Drosophila melanogaster: one gene and its partners. The protein of the gene in region 2 interacts with the protein of the main gene of each other region in a pairwise test. Each region holds a gene or a part of one and is shown on either strand. Other genes may lie near its edges. The genes, in order: CG9467, bin3, Lim1 and Syx16.

Region 1 (5,437 bases), on a different chromosome or scaffold from region 2:
GCTTTAGGTTGAATTTGTGTACAAACTATTTGTATGAACGGCTCGACAATTGCTTCCGGGCGAGGGTGGGTAATCGCTCCAAGTATCTACTCCATTATTATTATTCTATCTCAGTACCAGTGCGTCCTATTTTAGGTAAATTAAAGGCAGGGGTCCCACTTGACGAGCCACTTGTTTAAATTGTTTATTAAGCACACCGGCGGTCGTTAGTGGGTTGTGTTTAGGCCAATGATATTTAAATGGCGGTCGGGGTTGGGTTGGGGTAACTTACCTACAATACACAAATGTATATTATATATATTTTTATATGTTTTGGCGTTTTTGCTGCTTTTTTACTTTACTGAGGTCCGGTATAGGCGTAGGATATCGTATATACACGTATTTACACACACAACACCCACGAGAATGCAAGCCAAGTATTTGTATTTGATAAATGTTAATGGAACACTTCAACCATCAAGAAACTAAGATAAAATGTTCAATAAATTATTGATGACACAACTCGCTCGCTATTTTGATATCTCTTTGTGTATAATTATCTTTATTTATATTGAATATGTATAGCTGTTTACTGGTTGCAACAAGGCGTATCATTATATTCATGTGTGGCATTGCATGCAACAGGACAGATTCGAATTTGAAGCAGTCGCTCTATCGATTTTAATCACAAGTAATCATCTTCAAGGTTGACAATCAACTGATTGGCTGTTTAATGAACTTTCTTTGCTTAAGGCAACCAATCTTATCCAAGCCGAACGATTTCGTATCTGTCCTGATGGAGCACCCTTTAGGAGAGTTGTGCTAATTATAGATGATCGGTTGCAGAAGTCTTATACTCTGGTTTACATGGTTTTAACTAATTTTCATAACTTTAACTAGAACAAAGACAGACGTTTTTTTTTTAAATTACTAACTGTACGATCCAAGTTTGGAGGAGCACAAAAAATGGGTTTACGGGATACACATTGCATTTGCAAACACATCGAGCACATATAATGGAGATTAATTGATTGGGTAAATGCCTGCTGGCAGTTCATCACGGCCCAGTGGCTGGACCGCGGGTGAGTCGCGTCACCCAGACGTAGATGAGGGCGCACACCACGAACTGCAGGAATATAAACTGGTAGTCGAAGATTAAGCTATACCTGTGAAATGTAAACGATGAAACGCGCCCGACAAGCGCCAATCAAGCAGCCGCTTCCACGTCTCATTCGTTGTTGTCGTCAGCCATCGGGATAGCAGCTGCCGGCGCCACAGCCTCTGGAAGAGCAGGTTGGACCTGAGCGGGCGGCTGGACGGCTTGGACGGCCATTGCCATTGCTGGTTCCCGATTTAGCAGGGCTATGTTGCTGGCTTTCATGCGGGCTATGGAGGAGGCCATTCCAGAGCCGTTGCCCATAGCTGATAGACACGGTGACATACAAGGTGTTGTGCATGATGAATTGCTGATTTCACACTGGTCAAGTAGGCGGAGAAGCTCATTGGTGTCGGGTCCGCCATTGATTTTCTGCTGCGGCTCATCCTTGGAGAGCAGCGCCAGTGCAGTGGTTAGGTCCCACATTTGAATAGCGCCGTTGCAGTGACCGGTGAGTATGAACCGGGACGATACCTCGCACTCGAGCACACAGAAGGCCGAAATTGTGGAGCTATCTACGGATCTAATGACGCACACCCGATCACCGTTGGAGGCCAAGCGTACGTACAGCTGATCCGTCTCGGGCACCACCTTTTGCACAAATATCATGTCGTCGTAGTCACCGTAAGGTCCAAAATCATTTCCAGCCGCATAGCTGTAGCTCGTATCGGTAGCTTCCAGCGACACGATTTTGAACGATGCTTCCGGCGTGGATCCCGGCTGGGTGGAGAGCATGCCCCGGAAGCGGGTCAGACGCCATGTTCGCACGTGGTGGTATTCGCTGCACACGGAGACGAGGTATTTCTCCGACAGCATCACCTTCGTTACGGGGCTTTGGTGCACAAAGAAGGTCTCGAACAGGTGTGGTCCATGGCCAGCTGTCTCCGGATGCTGGACAATGATTCGAACCGCTCCCGACTTTGTGCCATAGGCAATTTCAATCCAATTGCCACTTATGCTCGAGGTTTTTGGGGTAAGGTAGACCGAGATGGCCGTGATAGGGTCTAGTGTGACATCTTTGTAGAGCTCGGTAACCAGTAAATCATTGTCCTTTATCCGGAGCGGGAACTTCTGCATGTCTATGTAGTAAATGGAGCCGTTGTTGCAGCCCAGCAGCAAAAAAGAGCCTGCGGAATCGAATGAGAGCACGGGCACTAGGTCCTGAATCTGCCAGTGCTGCGTCATCGCATGCCAGACGCCGATCTTGCCGGAAGATGACAGGGCCACCAGCTGACTGCCGATAAAGAACAGGTACTCCACTCGCACATTTAAATTAAACGTGCCCACATCCGTTTTCTGGCCGCCCTCCTGAATGCTCCACAATCTTATCTGACTGCCGTAAGAAATGGCCACCATCTTGCTGGGCAGTGGCTCTGCTGCGGAAGTATTCACCTTTGAGTTGATGGCGATTCTTTCGATAGTGGCGTCGATGTGGGGCGATGTGAACACCTGCTGCCATCCGTTGGAGTCTTTCACCCGGTAGCAAGTCACAAAGTGTGCGTAAGCCACTGCTATCCAATTTTGGTGCGCCTTAATGATTTGCACTCGCAACGGGTCCACCCAGTTTGAGTTCTGCGTGGGACTGAATACCAGGCCAACTTCGTTTCGAAAGACTTTGTTCAGATCGGCCGAGGAGTTCCGAGAGTGGCGCATAAAGTCAATCGAGGGATTACGTGAGTGCAACATGGGAGCTGGGGGATTGGCACCATTGCCAGTGCTACCTGTGCGACCAAGGCGCAGATCCCATGATGAATTGCGCGAGTGTGAGGAGCGTGAGGGTTCGGGAACGCGCACCATGGACCCAGGACGACTGCCAATCGCACTGGCCGAAGTGGAGGGCAATGACTCGTCAACGCTAGTAGCAGCCACAGCTTCGTTTGACGGCATGGGCGGCGCCGCCAGAAATCCGTAGAACAGCAAATCACCGCAGGACGAGTGGTTAAGGTCTTCGCAGAGGGCCAGGCGCTTGGTCAGCGGCGTGATGCCATAGTACTCGGCCTCATGGCGCAGAGCGCGTATTTCGCAGTTCTTGATGTCGATGTCCTTGGTCCTTAAGTAGTTAAGTATGATCGAGAAGAGCGTCGGATCGCGATCAATAAAGATGGCATTGTGCTCGTCTCTGAGACTCGAGATGCGTCCGCTGAGAAGAGCCGTGAAGAAGGTGTCCGGGATCCACGTAAGCGTTTGCCGCGACGTGGAAAAGCTATGGATAGTGAGATGGAGTTTGCATGCGTCATCAATGCCGTTAGTGGGCCGTAATGTGTTGGTTCTTTGTTCTTACCGCTGACCACCCACATTGAGGTTGACCAGGTCGCTGCTGGAGGCATGCGTGAAGTGGGACATGGCAATCCGATGACCCGCGGGCTGCCGCAGCAGCGGACGGTGGGGATTGCTCTAAATGCGCCTCTATTTGTGTGGCTTCCGTGCTCCCAGCGCTCCAATCAGCAACTGATATGGCGGAGCAGTGGCAGCGGCGTCAGCGGAGCAGATAACTCGCGATTTCGGTACCCAACCCACTTGACGTGCGCTGCGGGGTGCAATTTATTCGATTAACTCTTTGTGCCAGGCTATTTATTTATTTATTATTTGTTGCACTGCACTGTAGAAACTAGGGATGGGCAAATTGGTCGTGACTGTTCCCAGCCATGACGAGTCACTGTTTACGGGGGGTCCCTGTTGCATTTAGTTGTTTTGCTGAACTTTCCACTTTTGATTTTGTATGTGTTAACTCACCAAGGTTTTTGATGGTTTCCAAACAACAATTCATCATTAAAAAATAATTAATATAGAAATAAAATTAATTTGGGCATCAGAAAGTATATGCATTTCCACAATTATAAGCAACGATATTTCTTGTGAAGCAGTGTACATCTCTAACTCTCGGTTAAATTCCCATGCAATACGGTCATACCACCTTTTCGTCAAGCAACGGTTTATTTCGCTTGGTGGTAAATTTGAAAATATTGTAAAGTTATGACTTGTATTAAGCATCAAAACAAAAAGCTCATGGATCTTGCTGTCACACTCTGAGCCTTTGGAACTACGCTTTAGTTTAGTTTCGGACACCACTCAAAATTTCGAAAAAGCCCAAAATGCCGGCGGCGAAGTGCGGTTGTTTGAAGAAGGAGGCTCGCGTCCATGTCATCTACGTGGGTGGAACCATCGGAATGATCCGCAACGAGTCCGGAGGTGGGTATATCAATGGCTCTTGTCCGTGTACTAATCAATTGTTTCTCATCAGTACTGCACACCGCGCCCAAGGTGCTGGCTCGGCAGCTTCAAGAGTTTCCCAGCTGCCACGACAGGAATTACACCAGCAAGGATAATGATGGTCCCATGATGGTGCTACCCGCAGTGTCTGGAGCTCCGTATAGAGTCCTTTACGATTTGATTGAGTTCTGCCCACTGATGGACTCCAGCTGCATGGGCTTCTGCGACTGGAAGCGCATTGCCAACGAAGTGGGAGTAAGTTGAGAGTCGAGGATCATCAGGTTAATACAAAATATGCAACTAACTTTTTTCGCAGAAGACATACAAGTCCTACGACGGCTTTGTGATCCTCCATGGAACGGATACCCTAGCCTACTCCGCCTCGGCACTAGCGTTCATGCTTGAGAGCCTGAACAAGCCCGTGGTATTCACTGGGGCACAGATTCCGATCTTTGAAGCCCGCAGCGATGGGCGGGAGAACTTCTTGGGCGCACTTCTCATAGCAGGAAATTACAGTATACCCGAAGTGCTGGTCTTCTTCGGCAACAAGATTCTACGTGGCTGTCGCTCCACGAAGCTCAATTCTGACTCTTTTCACGCACTGGACTCACCAAATTTTGCACCATTGGGTCGGGCGAGTGTCAACATTGAGATCAACAGCCGCCAAATCTTCCGACCGTGCAATATTAAACCATTTTCACTTCATTCGGAACTCGAAAAGAACGTGGCGCTGCTGCGTATTTACCCGGGAATAAGTGCCAGTGTGGTGCAGGCAATCCTGAAAGAGCCAACGAAAGGTGTTGTCCTCCAGACCTTTGGGGCCGGCAATTTTCCGGTTAATCGTGAGGACTTGCTGGACGAACTGAGGGAGGCGGTTCACAGAGGCGTTATTATTGTCAACATTACGCAGTGCTCGGCGGGCATGGTGGCCAACATTTACGAGACAAGCCAGGGTCTGATGGAAGTGGGCGTAATACCCGGCTACGATATGACTCAGGAGGCAGCCTTTACCAAACTGGCCTATGTGCTGTCCAAGCCGGAGTGGGACATTCCCAACAAGAAGAAGGTGATGCTACTAAGTTTGCGCGGAGA
Region 2 (4,668 bases):
ATAATTATTATTTATCGTTTGCACTTCCACTAGCTGAGTAACAGGTATCTGATGGTATATGGGCTCGACTACAGCGTTCTCTTTTGTTTCTTTTAATTTCGCGTCAAGATTTTTAACTTTCTTTTCACACTTTACGAAATAAAATGCTTAAGGTGTTTTACTAAATTACAATACTGCAAAACGCAGTCAATTTGCGGTATATAAGTGAGTAACTTAATCAGATCCGCAACACATTAATAAATTTTACATGGTATTAACTGCAAGGGACTTAAATTTCCGACGGTACAAACTGGAATGTATGTAATACTAATGTTACGCGACCAGAATAAGGTACCTCATACTTAAAGTAAAGATAATATATTTCTTATGCCATTTAATAAACACTTTTATTTAATCAAAATTTCTTAATTTTTACTTATTTCCAAATCGCCATGTTTAAGTTTTCTGTTGAATTTCCCTAATACCTGCATAGACTGCCAACATCTAGTGTTGGTGTTGCGACTATAATATTTTTAATTTGTTGCTTTTTATTGTTAACAACAGCAACAGGTTCGTTGACCAGTCAACGAGCGCTCAGAGAGCAAAACAAATAGAGATATGTAGATACAAACAAGGTTCAAAGCAATCAGTTACCCTCTACTCAGAGTGTTGGAGCGATTTTTCGAAAAGGGTTCGTTTTTTTTTAGAAAGTGTCCAGAAATAGCATTTCGTTTGGTAAAATGTAAATATTTTACAATGTAAGCCAACCAAAATGAGCACAAAAATTAGATTACAATAAATACATCATGCACATAGAAAGGTAACAATTATTTTTGTTGTCAAATAATATATTGCACAGTTTGGGGAGCCTACTAAGAAGATAATATAACATATTTACATATATCAGATGGGCCTTACAAAGTTTAGAGATGTCCTGGGACTCCTAAGATGTCATCAAGGTACCCATCCAAATATTTTAAAAATACTGGATTTTTACCTTTTTCTGGTTATTTTCTTTCTTACTTTTCTTCATAATTACAGATTTTTTCACATCAAGGTCATCGCGATGTGGGTAGTTCATTAACGAACGCCTACAAAACGAAGCTTCACTAATGAGAGTTCGCCGGCTCGTTGACAGATGCATTGGCGCGGATTAAGAATGTGCAGAAGCAAACAAAGGATTGCGGGACCTAAACCAACAACAGCCGGGACAAAAACTGCAGCGGCAATGCAGCAGGAACAATGAAACAAACGGTCTTTTGGCTATTTCACCCATCTTATATTCTAACTTGTCCTACGCACATTTTATATAGCTCCCTAAAAACTGAGAGAAAATGATATAGCCTAAATAAGGAAAATTCAAAATACTTAAAACCAATAAACTTGTTACTAGATAAGTTCCTTCATAATGGCTATAGATAATAGTAATTAACTATTTTGGAAGTAGCAACCTGATTTCTTTCAGAGGATAAGAAAAAAATTACTTTTAAAAAGGTAGTTCCTTTTAAAATTTTATACATTTTCTATAAACTGTAGTGAAAGTTTTTATAAGTGTATCAAGTTAAGAATGCAAACGGGAACCATTCACCCACTACTTTAAAATTGTTAAGCCGCCTTTTTTCAACTTTTCAGTTTTGCGCTTACTTTCCTTTCCATAAACGGGAAACTCATAGAACAAGACACTGTAACCATAATCCACATGCGTGTAATACCTTTAATGTCACTTTTAGCTAATATTCGGAGTGACATGAAAATGAGAAAATAATTTTAATTTTGAATTTTATTTGGGAAAAAATAGCTTCGTGGCCGAATCTTCCTTGTATCTGTTACTTTTCAACAAATCTATATAAACATTTATGTATATATATTTAAACATCTTCTGGCTTGTTTAAATTTGACTACGGTTTCCATGATACTCAAATAAATGAGTGTCTTGATAGAAAAAATGAAAAAAATATTTAGTTCGTAATTACACTTTATAGTGTTTTGTAGGAAAGTGTTAACTTTGTGACAAAGCGCACCAGGGGAGCGTTCGAAGTGGACTCCTATTTTTACTTTTTCTATTAAAATCTATTTTTAATTTAATACTTATAGCAGCTCCATAAGACAGTTTGATTTGTTTTTTGGCAGTTCGGGTAAAAGAGCCACTGTGCATCGAACTGCTAACCCACATATCCGACCCGTTCGCCCCACCATTATTATCCCTGGAACCAACTGCCCACCCCCACCACCGCTTTTGACGAATTCCTTCGGTTGGGGTGAATAATATGCTCTCCGAAGCCTAAAAGATTGGCAAGAAATTTGAAGAATGAGAGGAGCCAAAAGCCTGGAATCTGACATGGATGTTTTGTGTTGATTTGTATATATGTTTTACCTAAGATTTTGTATATGGAAATGCAAATGGAAATATTGCACATTCGAAAAGCAACAAAAACTCAAAAAGGCCGGGCAAAAAAATAAAAGACTGGCAATTAACTTTGACTTCTGAGGGGCACGCGATAAAAGTTATCGATGACTGCGAGAACGGTTGGCATGAGGGGTCACTCAGGAAAAACAAATTTGATTGCTTAAATGGCTCCTAAAATTGAAAGCAAAAGTGGAAGTCAACTCGATAAGAGAGGGTATACGGGGACCACTCTTCTGGTCCATATCCTATTAGAAGGTTGAAATGCACTTAACGTTTGTTTATGCACACACACACAATTAAGAAACTACTCTTGTCCAAATACTCTGCCTGGACTACTTCCATTTCTTCATAGCTTTCCAACTGATTGCTAACTTGTGTGTGCTCGCGAAAAACAGAAACCCTAGGAACAGCTGAGTGTGCACACAAATCCACACGTGCTGCGCCTTTAGACAAAACAAAAATGAATCTTAAGGACAAAACACTTACCGCCCAGAAAGCCCCACGATTGCTCAGTGGCGACTTGAACTTTGTTTTCACTTTTCGTTTCGTTGTTGCCGTTAAATTCGCCACACTCTTGATAAAAAAAAAAAAAAACCGTAAAATATGATTCCGTTCGCGGAGCTCTAATAAGTGCGTCAGTCTCCTGCAAGAAAACACTTACAACTAACATATTTTTATATATATTCTCGGTTAACAGAGCCCACCAGTGTTGCCAATTTTAAAAATGAAAAAATTAGTAATCGAAAAACAATGAAGTTTATAATAGTATGTACATATGCATATGCATAACTGTTGTAAGAAAACAACATAAAATGAAGACATCTTGCTAATATGAGGGATAATGTGATAATGTTCTATTTGGCGAGCAGAGGTTTCATATTTTTAAGAAAGAGCTACCACACTGGGTCTTATCGATTCAATTAACAATATGAACAGCTTCTGATGGATTGCACACGCTTGTGGAAAAAAAAAGATGGAACAGCTGACCGAGAGTTAGCATGTTAGCAGCTAACAGGGGACGGACCACAGATGTCTTAACAGCACTGGTACACAAATCGCTTTACAGCACGCTGTTAGCGGGACTACCGATAATAGTTGCTGTCGATAACAGATGCTGCCATATGTGAGAAAGAAGAAGAGCGAAGAAAACAGATAACTCCAATGTTTGCAAAACAATTTGATTAGTCTTGAAGGAATCCGCTTTAGGCTCTTAGGAACCCGCTTTATAGCGAGCACAGGCACGCACTGGCACACACAGCAAGCAAAGAGTGACAACATTATCCGTGAAGTGGACATATGGCCAACAAGAACATGCGTAACACCACAACCAAAGTGGAGGCCCTGATTGAGAGCTGTCGCAGCGAGGGCAAGTGGCACCGGGTCATCGAGCTAACGGATGAACTGAAGACCGGGTCCCCGCACAATGGTAAGAAGATTTCCGCTGATGACGGTACTCCTGGAATGACTGCCTTCTTTCGTGGAACAGAGTGCCTGGCCAACTTTCTGGTGGGGGAAGCTCGTCTGGAGAGTTACCTGGAGGAAAACGCTCTCGCGTCAGACTCAAATTTTGGTCGCGCCAAGTCTGGATTGGCGGAGGCCCGGCGTTTCCTTCACTTGGCTTTGGGTGAGAGTGGCCAGAAGGCGGGCATCGCCCTGGACGCCTATTTGCTGCTGGCCAAGCTGTGCTTTGCCTGCGGCGAGTATGAGCAGAGTCTAGACAATTTCGTCAAGGCAGAACTCAACACGCTTGCCGAGAAGGAGCTGACCCTGTAAGTTGGGAAAAGGTTTTCTAATCAAAATGTTCTCATCTACTACGTGGGGACTTGCAAATTAAGATGAATGTACACATCAACTCTTAATTAATAGCAAATTTGCAAAACTTATCACTTCTGCTTACATATATATAAAAGTCGCAGCCTGAAGATCCTTGCGGAATCGTATGCCATCAAGGGATTGTGTCTGGAGCAGCAGACTACGAAGCCGTCATCTAAGTTTAAGAAGGCCGAAAAGGACACGGAAATGGTAAAGTCCTCGATTTCAGTTTTAAAACGTAACTGATTTAATAATTTCTTACTCCAGATTAGCTGTTTTGAGCGCGCATCTGATCTGGGGCTGCTCTATCTGCAGGAATACGATCTCGTTAGTGGAAGCAGTGGCTCGTCCAACAACTCGACAGCTGGTTCTACGTTGAATGTAAACGCCTCTACTGTGCAGCCGTCGAGCAGCAGTTTTGCAATCAGCAGTACAATACCGGCGAGTGGTCCAAGTGGACTGGAAATGAA
Region 3 (5,030 bases), on a different chromosome or scaffold from region 2:
AGCAGCAACATAAAAATTGAAAAGATGCTGCCACCAAGATATATGCGAAGAAAAATGAGCAGTCGACCAGAGAAATGGCCGATGATATTGGTAATTGAACGACGAGGGGTTACCCTATTCTATTGAAGTTTTGAAAACTAAATTCCTTAAGAATAAACACATTACCAAAGATTCAACGACCTAAATTGGTATCCTATCTTAAGTATTTCCAATACATTTTTTCCATCTCATTTCAAAACCTTAACTATACCATAAAAAATTGGATATCTTTCCTGATTCCAAATTACTTTACGAACTTTCGAAAAAAGATACAGCTACTGCGCGGAAAAGTTATCTTCATTAAGCCGAGTTATATTCAGTGGTACTTTACTTTGTAGTTTTCCCCAACTAAATGCAAGTTAAGTTCATAACTGCCAACACTTAGTCATTAGCTAATGGGTATGTCTATGAGCGAGAAATAAAACAAAAACAAAAAAATCCAACCGAGAAACAGTAGAAGCAGGAAGAAGAAAGCTTGGCAGCTTTACGACTCCACTTGGCATCAGTCCGCCGTCGTAAGGTGGCCCACTGTGCGGGTCTACGGCTTCCTGAACATCCATTTTCCAGTCAAATGTCGACAGCTTTTGACTTGAACCGCCCCCGGAGCTGCAGGCCCCAAGCCCAAAAACCCCAACAGTTCTCTAGCCAATTTATGGGGGAAGTAAGGTGTCGGCCGCTGTATGTCCAATGTCAACAAGTTAAATGGAGAATTTGCAGTTGCAATTTCCATCGAACCTCACTGGTTCGAAAACGAAGCTATTGAGGATTTTAGAATATTTTTGAAAAATTTTTTGTGGTATAAAATACCTTACTACATTTTTACTAATATGTACTTAAATCATTTCTCATTTCATTTCTTTTGATAAGAATCCAAAATATACTCGAAAAGAGTGTTCGGTCTCTAAATCTCTGCAGATCCTTAATTTTGTAGTTTATAAATGTTTTTTATAGTTATTCAAATTGATGGGGAGCTACATACATACATATAAACGAAATATTCCTCACCAACTAATCACAAAATACAAAACTAGAGGGGAGCCTTCATTTCTGAACTTTTTGCTCCCTTTTTACTATTTTTTTTTTTTTTTTTTTTTTTTGTTCCTGACATTAAACAGTCAGCAAAAGTGAAAATTTGACAGAGAGCAAATGAAATAAAACAAAAGCCAAAAAAAATGAGATGGGGTAGAGGAAGAACGGCAGAAGAAGAAGCTGAAAAACTTTGACAACTGCGCAAAAGTTTTTCAGTCCAAAAACGAACGGGAAAACAAGAGGAGGAAAAACAAAACCGAAACAAAAACAGATGAACAAGAACTTCAAAAGCATACAAAATGGTAATGCGAAAAAGAGACGGCAGATGGACGACGGGGCATTAGACGCCCCTCTCCTCCTCGCCGGCGGTCCCCTAAAAACGGGAAGCAAGTTCAAAAGTGCAAAAACTTTGCTGCTGCCCAGCCGTCGCCATTAAAAACTCCTTGGCCATCTTAACCCATTGCGGGCAAGCGGTATTGTATTAACCCACCATCCTAGGGATCGCATTTCGCCGATCCTTCAAGGGGTTGACTTCCTTTTAAGGACTTTCGACCGCACTCGACCCTACTTTTCTTATGTCTTTCTACCACCAGTTGAAAATCTAAGACCACATCCCGTCGGCATAGCGATCAAGCCATTTTTAATAGATTCCACTTTTTTGTCAGTACATTTTTCGAAAATTCACTTCTTTGCCATCTTTTAAAAGTATTTTTGAAATGTGTCATTGGTGTCATTGATCACTCGTCTACAGATTTTATAAACAATTTAAATATTATACGAAGCCTACAAACAGGTGTTTTCATTCTATTTCGATAGAGGACATCATGAATATTACTTAATCTAGATTAGATGTAAACAACTTCTATTTTCGATCTGTAAAATGTTTCATCCTTGACTTCCCAATGATATTATTCTATAGAACTACAAGCACAACTCAAAGATTTAGTGCTGATTCTTGGATGAAATGATTTCGATTGCAGTATCCTATATGTGACTAACCTTAAGAACTTGCCTGTTTGGGATTCTCACTGCAAACCCCCCAGATTTTCTATGTTTTCCTGGACCCTTAACCGCTTAATGCCTAAATTCCCCAAAACGATCACTTACCGATATTGTGCTGGCTGGTGTGTAGTACCGCCCCGAACGCCATCAGATGGTCCTTGGGCGGGGGGGCGCGGCTACCGAGGGCGGCGAACCCGTCGCCCAGATATGACGCCAGTGCGACGGCCCTCAGGGGCGCTTTTGAGGCCTCGGTGAGAATTTTGTTGTCGAATATCTTGATGCCGGGGGGATGGAGTTTTTCTTTTTTTCGGGGGGGTTAAGAGTGACTGCTTTTTTGGGGGGGCCGTCAATGGGTTAAGTCCCGCGTGTGTGTGCGTATGTGAACGAGGCGCGCGTGGGTGTGGATATATGTGTGTGTGTGCGGGTGCGGAAGCGAGAGAGAGAGGGAGAGAAAGATAGGAGCGGGCCCCAACTGCACACTTAACGGTTAACGCACATAAAGACTGGGTGGCAAGGTGCGAGCAAGAGGGGGATAGCACGTGTGTGCCGGCGGCAAATTTGGCAAAACAAAAACAAAGCGCGAAATTCCGCTCCTCTTTGAGTTGAAGAAACTTCCTCCGCTTCTATTATGCCTTATATTCCAGTATTTCTTTAGTTGTTGTATATGAAATTGATTCTTTTCTTTTTAAACACTTTGCACTATCGGCTTTTCGGCGATTCCTTGGTTTTGTTGTATTTATGTGTTGTATATTCTTCTTGTTGTTCAAGATTCTCACTTGCAAAAAAATTTGAACAACGGCAAAAATTCTCGGTTTTCGATCTCGCGGCGGAACGGTAAACAGCTGACTAACGGTAAACGGCTGCGTTGGCTCCTTTTTCGAGCGTTGCCTCGTGCGCTTTGCGTTTTGCGGGCGCTTCACGCGAACGTCAAACAAAAACTGAAAACGGAAAACGGCAAACGCGACGGCAAAGCGGACGGCCCGATTACCGATAGCTGCCAGCCGAGCGCACACGCACACACACGAACGGCGAGCCGAAGCGGCGACGAATGGCGCGCCTGGGTGCGAGCGAGATGCTAGCAGGCGCATCGCTCGCACTCGTGCTACCGAATGCGGCAAGCAGTGCTCGCATATTTCGCCTGCGCCAGAGCGAGATGCAGCGAATGTTGAGCTGGGGCTGCTGCGACGCCGACTGCGCTGCTGGCGGCGCTGCAATGGAGTCGCAGGCTCTCTCGCTCTCGCTTCCGTCGCTTCTCCTGGCTCTCTCGTGTTGGGCATGAAGAAATCATATTATTCTTAAATAAAAAAATTGTTTTTCAAAACGTTTTCTAAAAAAATGGAAAAAATATGACTAGAATATTTGGTATGCATATCTAGATTATTATTAAAAATATTTTGGAAAAGGATATACAATTTCATAACAATTGGAAAAAAATATCAAGAAATCTTAATTTTTTTTCCTTTTTTAGGATTTAATTTAGGTGATTGTTCGATAATACACAATATAAGTTCTTTGAAAATTTTGATATATTTAGCATGATAACTAAATATTTAGTTAGCCTTACTAGATGCTTGTTAGATTCATAAGATTTTAAAAATCCAAAAATTCACTTTTTTTTTAAATTCTACACACATTCTTCTGTTGATCTTGGGCTTTTGATCCTTTTCTCAAGATTGGTGCTGGCGTTGTTCCTGTAAGGATATTTTTGGTTTTTGTTGCTGTTGTTGCCCTTCCATTTTGCCCATTGTTGTTGCAACACTGGCTCTCCTGCTCTCCAGCTCTCTTTTTTGCGGTTAGAGGGGGCGTTGCTAAGCAACTGGTTTTTTTATTGTTGCTTCATTGAGAGATGCGCAAAATGGCGCTCTCTCGCTCTCACGCTCTCCGGCCGTCGCGCCCTCTCGCTCACACTCGCTGGCCGGGCCAATGGCATTTTTCAAAGTGACATTTGCCCGCGTTTTGTCCCTTTCGCACTTGGCGGTGCTTGTGTGCGTGCCAAGGTAAAATGTCAAATGCTTTTCGACTGTCAACTGTTGGTCGCAAAAACTTTTTTCTTTCCTTCTTTTTTATTTTTAGTTGTTGTTTTTGTTCGGCTGCCTCTTCTGCAACTTGTGTTTGTCACTTGTCGTTAGCAGTGCGAAAGGGAGAGCACTAGTGGCGGGGGGTGGTGGGGGCGTTAGCTGGAGAGGGACGCCCCTTTGGCGTTTTAACGCACTGGAGACAGCAAGAAAAAAAAACGGAGGCGAAGAAAAAAAAGCAAAGAAAAAGTGTTAGATAAATTGCAAGTAACAAAAAATTAGTAGAAAAAAACATTTAAAATTGTGCAAAATATTATATCTTTTTCTTTTTCTTTAACAAATGCAATTTTAATAAGCTTTCGATTTAGATAAATCTATAGCAAGACACTTATCGTAAAAATAAACCAATACAAAAACCAATAAAAACCATAAGAAATAATATAGGATTCAAATTGCAAAAATGCCAAAGATCTAAACAAACAACAAGAAAAGACAAAACTGGATAAAATAAAAAAAATGCATAAAATAAGTGAGAGTAAAAGAGAACGCATTATAAAGGTCGGGGAGGAGGCTCCCGCTCTCATTCACTCCTTACGGTCTTCCCTCTCACTCACACTTCGATAGGAAGAAGAAGATGTTCGACACAAAATAAGGGGGCTGTGGTGGGTTAAAGAGCGCCGTTTGCTGTGTGCGTGGATGTGGGGTAGTCAAAAATATTGCACATTAGGGTGTTAAGCTGTGAAGTGCTTGCTTTTTGTTTTTGCGTGTGCGTGTCACTTTTCACTTGTTCTGCGCTATCGAAAAGTTATCGAAATCAGTTGATCTTTGACGGCCTTGAAAACTGCTTTGCCCCAAATTTAGTAAGAGCAAAAGGGATGAGGACATAATAGGAATGGAATAAAAAGGATATTGAAGCAAAAACACTTACATAACTACTCTCGAGGA
Region 4 (3,639 bases), on a different chromosome or scaffold from region 2:
GAAGATCTTTACGCCCGTGGTGGAGCACATGAAGCTGCAGATCCGCTTCAACATGAAGGCGCGCCAGGTGGAGCTGCGTGTGGGCCCCGAGACGCCGGACATAGCCAACCTGCAGCGCGGCGCCGACTTCGTGCGCGCCTTTCTCTGCGGCTTCGAGGTGGACGACGCCCTGGCCCTGCTGCGTCTGGAGGACCTGTTCGTCGAGTCGTTCGAAATCAAGGACGTGAAGACGCTGCGCGGCGACCACCAGTCTCGCGCCATCGGCCGCCTCGCCGGCAAGGGCGGCCGCACCAAATTCACCATCGAGAACGTGACCAAGACCCGCATCGTGCTAGCCGATAGCAAGATCCACATCCTGGGCAGCTACCAGAACATTCAGCTTGCGCGCCGGGCCGTCTGCAACCTAATCCTCGGCTCGCCGCCCAGCAAGGTGTATGGCAACCTGCGGGCAGTCGCCTCGCGCCTCTCGGAGCGCATGTGATTGGGAGAGCGGACTGGAGTGGACTGGACTGGAGTGGAGTTCGACTTGAGAGGGAGTAGTTGCGGTTTTTTTTTTAGCATTAGCAATAAATAATAAATATAATAACATGTATTCAAACATTTACAATATACACAAACACACACAGCGAATGACGGGAATGAGGTCGGCCCACTGGAGGCGCGTGGGCAACTAGAGCTTGGTCAGGATGAGCAGCAGCAGCATGAAGAATGTGACCGCCGCCAGGACGAGAATGACGCACATCTTGCGGTTCTTGCGCTGATACATTTCCGCCTTGTGCAGCTGGCGCAATCCCTCCGAGACGCGCGTCTGCGTCTGCTCCACGTTGTAGTCGATGCGGTCGAGCACAGTGCCCTGCTCCTGGACCATGTGGCCCAGGTCCTTGAAGATGTCGTTCAGGTCGTAGATGGACTTGACTATCTTGGTCACCTCCTGCTCGCGGTGCTGCGCCACCCGCGTGTTCTCCTCCTCGAAGAGCAGCAGCTGCTGTTGGGTCATCCGGCTGGCCGGCGGCCTTTGGAAGTGATCGTCGATGGCCTGCTCGTCGTCCTCGAACAGATAGCCGTTGCCGGACTTGCCCTCCGCCGGCGGCTGCAGAAAGTTGTCGAAGGAGTCGACGAAGTTCTCGGCGCTCTGCTCGCCCAGCTCCACGTTTGTGAAGACGTCTCCAGCGCCAGCGCCGCCGCCGTCGTCGAAGTACTTCTGCGAGCGCTCCTCGCGGGAGTTCAGCTGAAGCAGGTAGGCATTCTGGCTGGCACGGAACTTCACCGTCAGCTCCTGCAGCTGGAGCAGGGCGCAGTGTACCGCGTTGACCGTCAGGCACTGCTCCATCTTGCTGCCCACGCCGATGCTGCTGCGCACGCACTGGATGTGCCGGTGCGTGGAGGTGATCAGCTTGGAGACGATTTGGCTGAGCACCTCGATGTCGCACTCGTCGTCCCGCTGATCATCGAAGGCGGGTCGCAGGAGGTGGCGTGCGTGCAGGGAGCCCAGTTCATCCAGCTTAGGCTTGATCCTGCAAACGAGTGATGGGAGTGAAGTTGAACCCTGCGCATGGACTACTGTTTGTTTACCCACTTAGACATGGTGTACTGCGCCTCCTCGAACTTGTCCAGCCAGGCGGGCGGCGTGCCGTAGTCGTCCTGCAGCTCCAGTCCCTCCTCCGCCTCGCGCACCGAGTGCTTTAGAAGGCGCTCCGCATCGCTGCCCCTCTGGAAGACGGAGAAACGCAAAACATATGTTAGTTGATGATAACAGTGAAGACCCCAGACGGAGACGCACTCACCCGATCGTCGTAGTGATTCCGGTTCTTGGACGCATTGTTGCGCATGATGACGAACACCTCCGTCAGGTTGCGCGACGTCATCCTGGCCGTCTGCTCCCGATTTCTTGGGGATTGGAAGGATTGATCCAAGTCCGCTGAAAACTCAATCAGATTTTTTCCAGTTTCGTTTTGACACAGCAGCGCAGTGTGCCCGCTGACTTGCTCGCCCAGAATACCGATAGTCGCCACGACGAACTGGTCACCCTGGCCTGAACGCACCGTTACATGTCCGAGAATTATACTTATTTTAAATATTATTTTCTTATTATCTGTAGAATCTGTACTTTATATGTATACTCCTAAACATCCTATTTGCGAAAGTGATTTTTTCAATATACGGATTGGATAGCTCCAATAGAAATATTCGGAAATTACAGAATATAGTATTGCTTTGTTGAGTTTCAACAATTTATAAAGTTAATTCTGTACACACCGTCACGTAAATTGAAATGCAATACTTTTAGCAATAAAACGACCGTAATAGTACAATAAAAGTATTCAATAATTTGTTATGTGCGTTCTCTTTTTTTGCGTTACGAAAGAGTAATATAACCGAATGATATTGTAAATGATTTTAGAATCAAGTACATTTTAGGCTAATGTTTAAAAATTACAAATTTACAGAATTTTAGGGAACTCATTATGAGTTTGGCTTAACGTTTTCTAATAGCCAGCTTCCACTGTACTGGGTTTTAATCCGTGACACAAGCCTGTGACTTAAGAACACTGAAGAGCTATCGAAAGGCAAAACATATCGATGGCTCGACCCCCTGATATCGATTACTTGATAGCTCAGTCAGTTTGCACCTCCCCCTGATATCGATTGCCATCAAACAATTTTATTTCATTTTAAAATAATTCCTTGATTTCAAATTGCATTGTACTGGTAACTGGCACTTCCAATTGTGACCCGAAAGCAGCAAGCGCGGAAAACGGAGAGTTCAAGTGCGGGTGGAAAAGTCAGGATGTCATAACTAACTCCGAGCGGAACAACGAAATGAGCAGTGCGGACAAGGATAACAACGAATTATCCTGATCCTGGACGCCCGATTGCAGTTGTGTGTGTGCTTGCGCGCGTGTGCGTGTGCTTAGTGTGTGTGCCAGTGACGACATTGACCCGCCTTCGCCCCCGCCCCCACCCGCGCTCCAACCCACCACCACACCCCCCTTGAAGGGGTAACTGTGCCATGCCATTGTCGTTGTTGTGGTTGTGGTCGAGCTCGTTTCTAGCCTGACTTCGGCGGTGGAGCACTAGGGAAGGCAACACGAAAACACAAACATGTTCAACCGCCAGGCGAGCGGAGGAGCCGGATCCAGTGGCCAGGGTGCTGGGTCCAGCCAGACCGCTTCTGCAGCACCAGTCTCCGCTGGAGTTGGAGTAGGAGGGGGTGGAGGTGCCAGTGGAGCAGCGGCAGGAGCAGGCTCCGCAGCAGGATCTGGATCGGGATCAGGTTCCGGATCAGCAGCACCGCCCAGCCATTCGCCCGATCTCTACCTGCGCCCGCTGCCCTTTCTGGACGCCAAGTGGCTGCGCGCCGATCTCATCGCCTCCCTGCGCAACGCCGCCGACGGCGCCGTACTGTGGAACCATCTGATCCAGGACTGCGAGCTGGTCTCGTCGCCTACCGCGCCGCTCCTAAATGCCCGCGGACAACTATCCTACCTGGGCGACGATGGCAAGCACTACTGCGGCGCTCAGCAGCTCAAGTGCTCCTGCTGCCAGCCGGAGTACTGCGGTCCTCTCTCCGCCTGCAATTGCGACGGCTGTCGGCCTCTGGACTCGGACACGGCCATCAAAAAGCTTACCACCCAAGCT

Evidence for each region.
Region 1: the proteins of bin3 (region 2) and CG9467 interact in a two-hybrid assay, tested with the Drosophila melanogaster proteins (one large-scale study listed by BioGRID).
Region 3: the proteins of bin3 (region 2) and Lim1 interact in a two-hybrid assay, tested with the Drosophila melanogaster proteins (one large-scale study listed by BioGRID).
Region 4: the proteins of bin3 (region 2) and Syx16 interact in a two-hybrid assay, tested with the Drosophila melanogaster proteins (one large-scale study listed by BioGRID).

What each region holds. Positions count from the first base shown.
Region 1 is NT_033777.3:9,797,253-9,802,689, forward strand, and holds CG9467 (uncharacterized protein), read right to left. Parts: upstream 3,775-5,437; 5' UTR 3,479-3,774; coding exon 3,417-3,478; intron 3,339-3,416; coding exon 1,208-3,338; coding exon of another isoform or gene 1,037-1,207; 3' UTR 517-1,036; downstream 1-516. Other genes in the region: CG8526 (uncharacterized protein), read left to right, coding at 4,228-4,324, 4,377-4,600, 4,662-5,437.
Region 2 is NT_033778.4:6,212,956-6,217,623, reverse strand, and holds the start of bin3 (bicoid-interacting protein 3), read right to left. Parts: upstream 3,057-4,668; 5' UTR 2,873-3,056; intron 1,428-2,872; exon of another isoform or gene 1,021-1,427; intron 939-1,020; exon of another isoform or gene 887-938; intron 800-886; exon of another isoform or gene 730-799; intron 1-729. Other genes in the region: Ttc7 (tetratricopeptide repeat domain 7), read left to right, coding at 3,683-3,812, 3,873-4,155, 4,297-4,408, 4,466-4,668.
Region 3 is NC_004354.4:8,802,789-8,807,818, forward strand, and holds the start of Lim1 (LIM homeobox 1), read right to left. Parts: upstream 3,017-5,030; 5' UTR 2,219-3,016; coding exon 2,176-2,218; intron 1-2,175.
Region 4 is NC_004354.4:20,391,778-20,395,416, forward strand, and holds Syx16 (syntaxin 16), read right to left. Parts: upstream 1,975-3,639; 5' UTR 1,866-1,974; coding exon 1,785-1,865; intron 1,711-1,784; coding exon 1,577-1,710; intron 1,515-1,576; coding exon 671-1,514; 3' UTR 557-670; downstream 1-556. Other genes in the region: l(1)G0004 (lethal (1) G0004), read left to right, coding at 1-481; HERC2 (HECT and RLD domain containing protein 2), read left to right, coding at 3,103-3,639.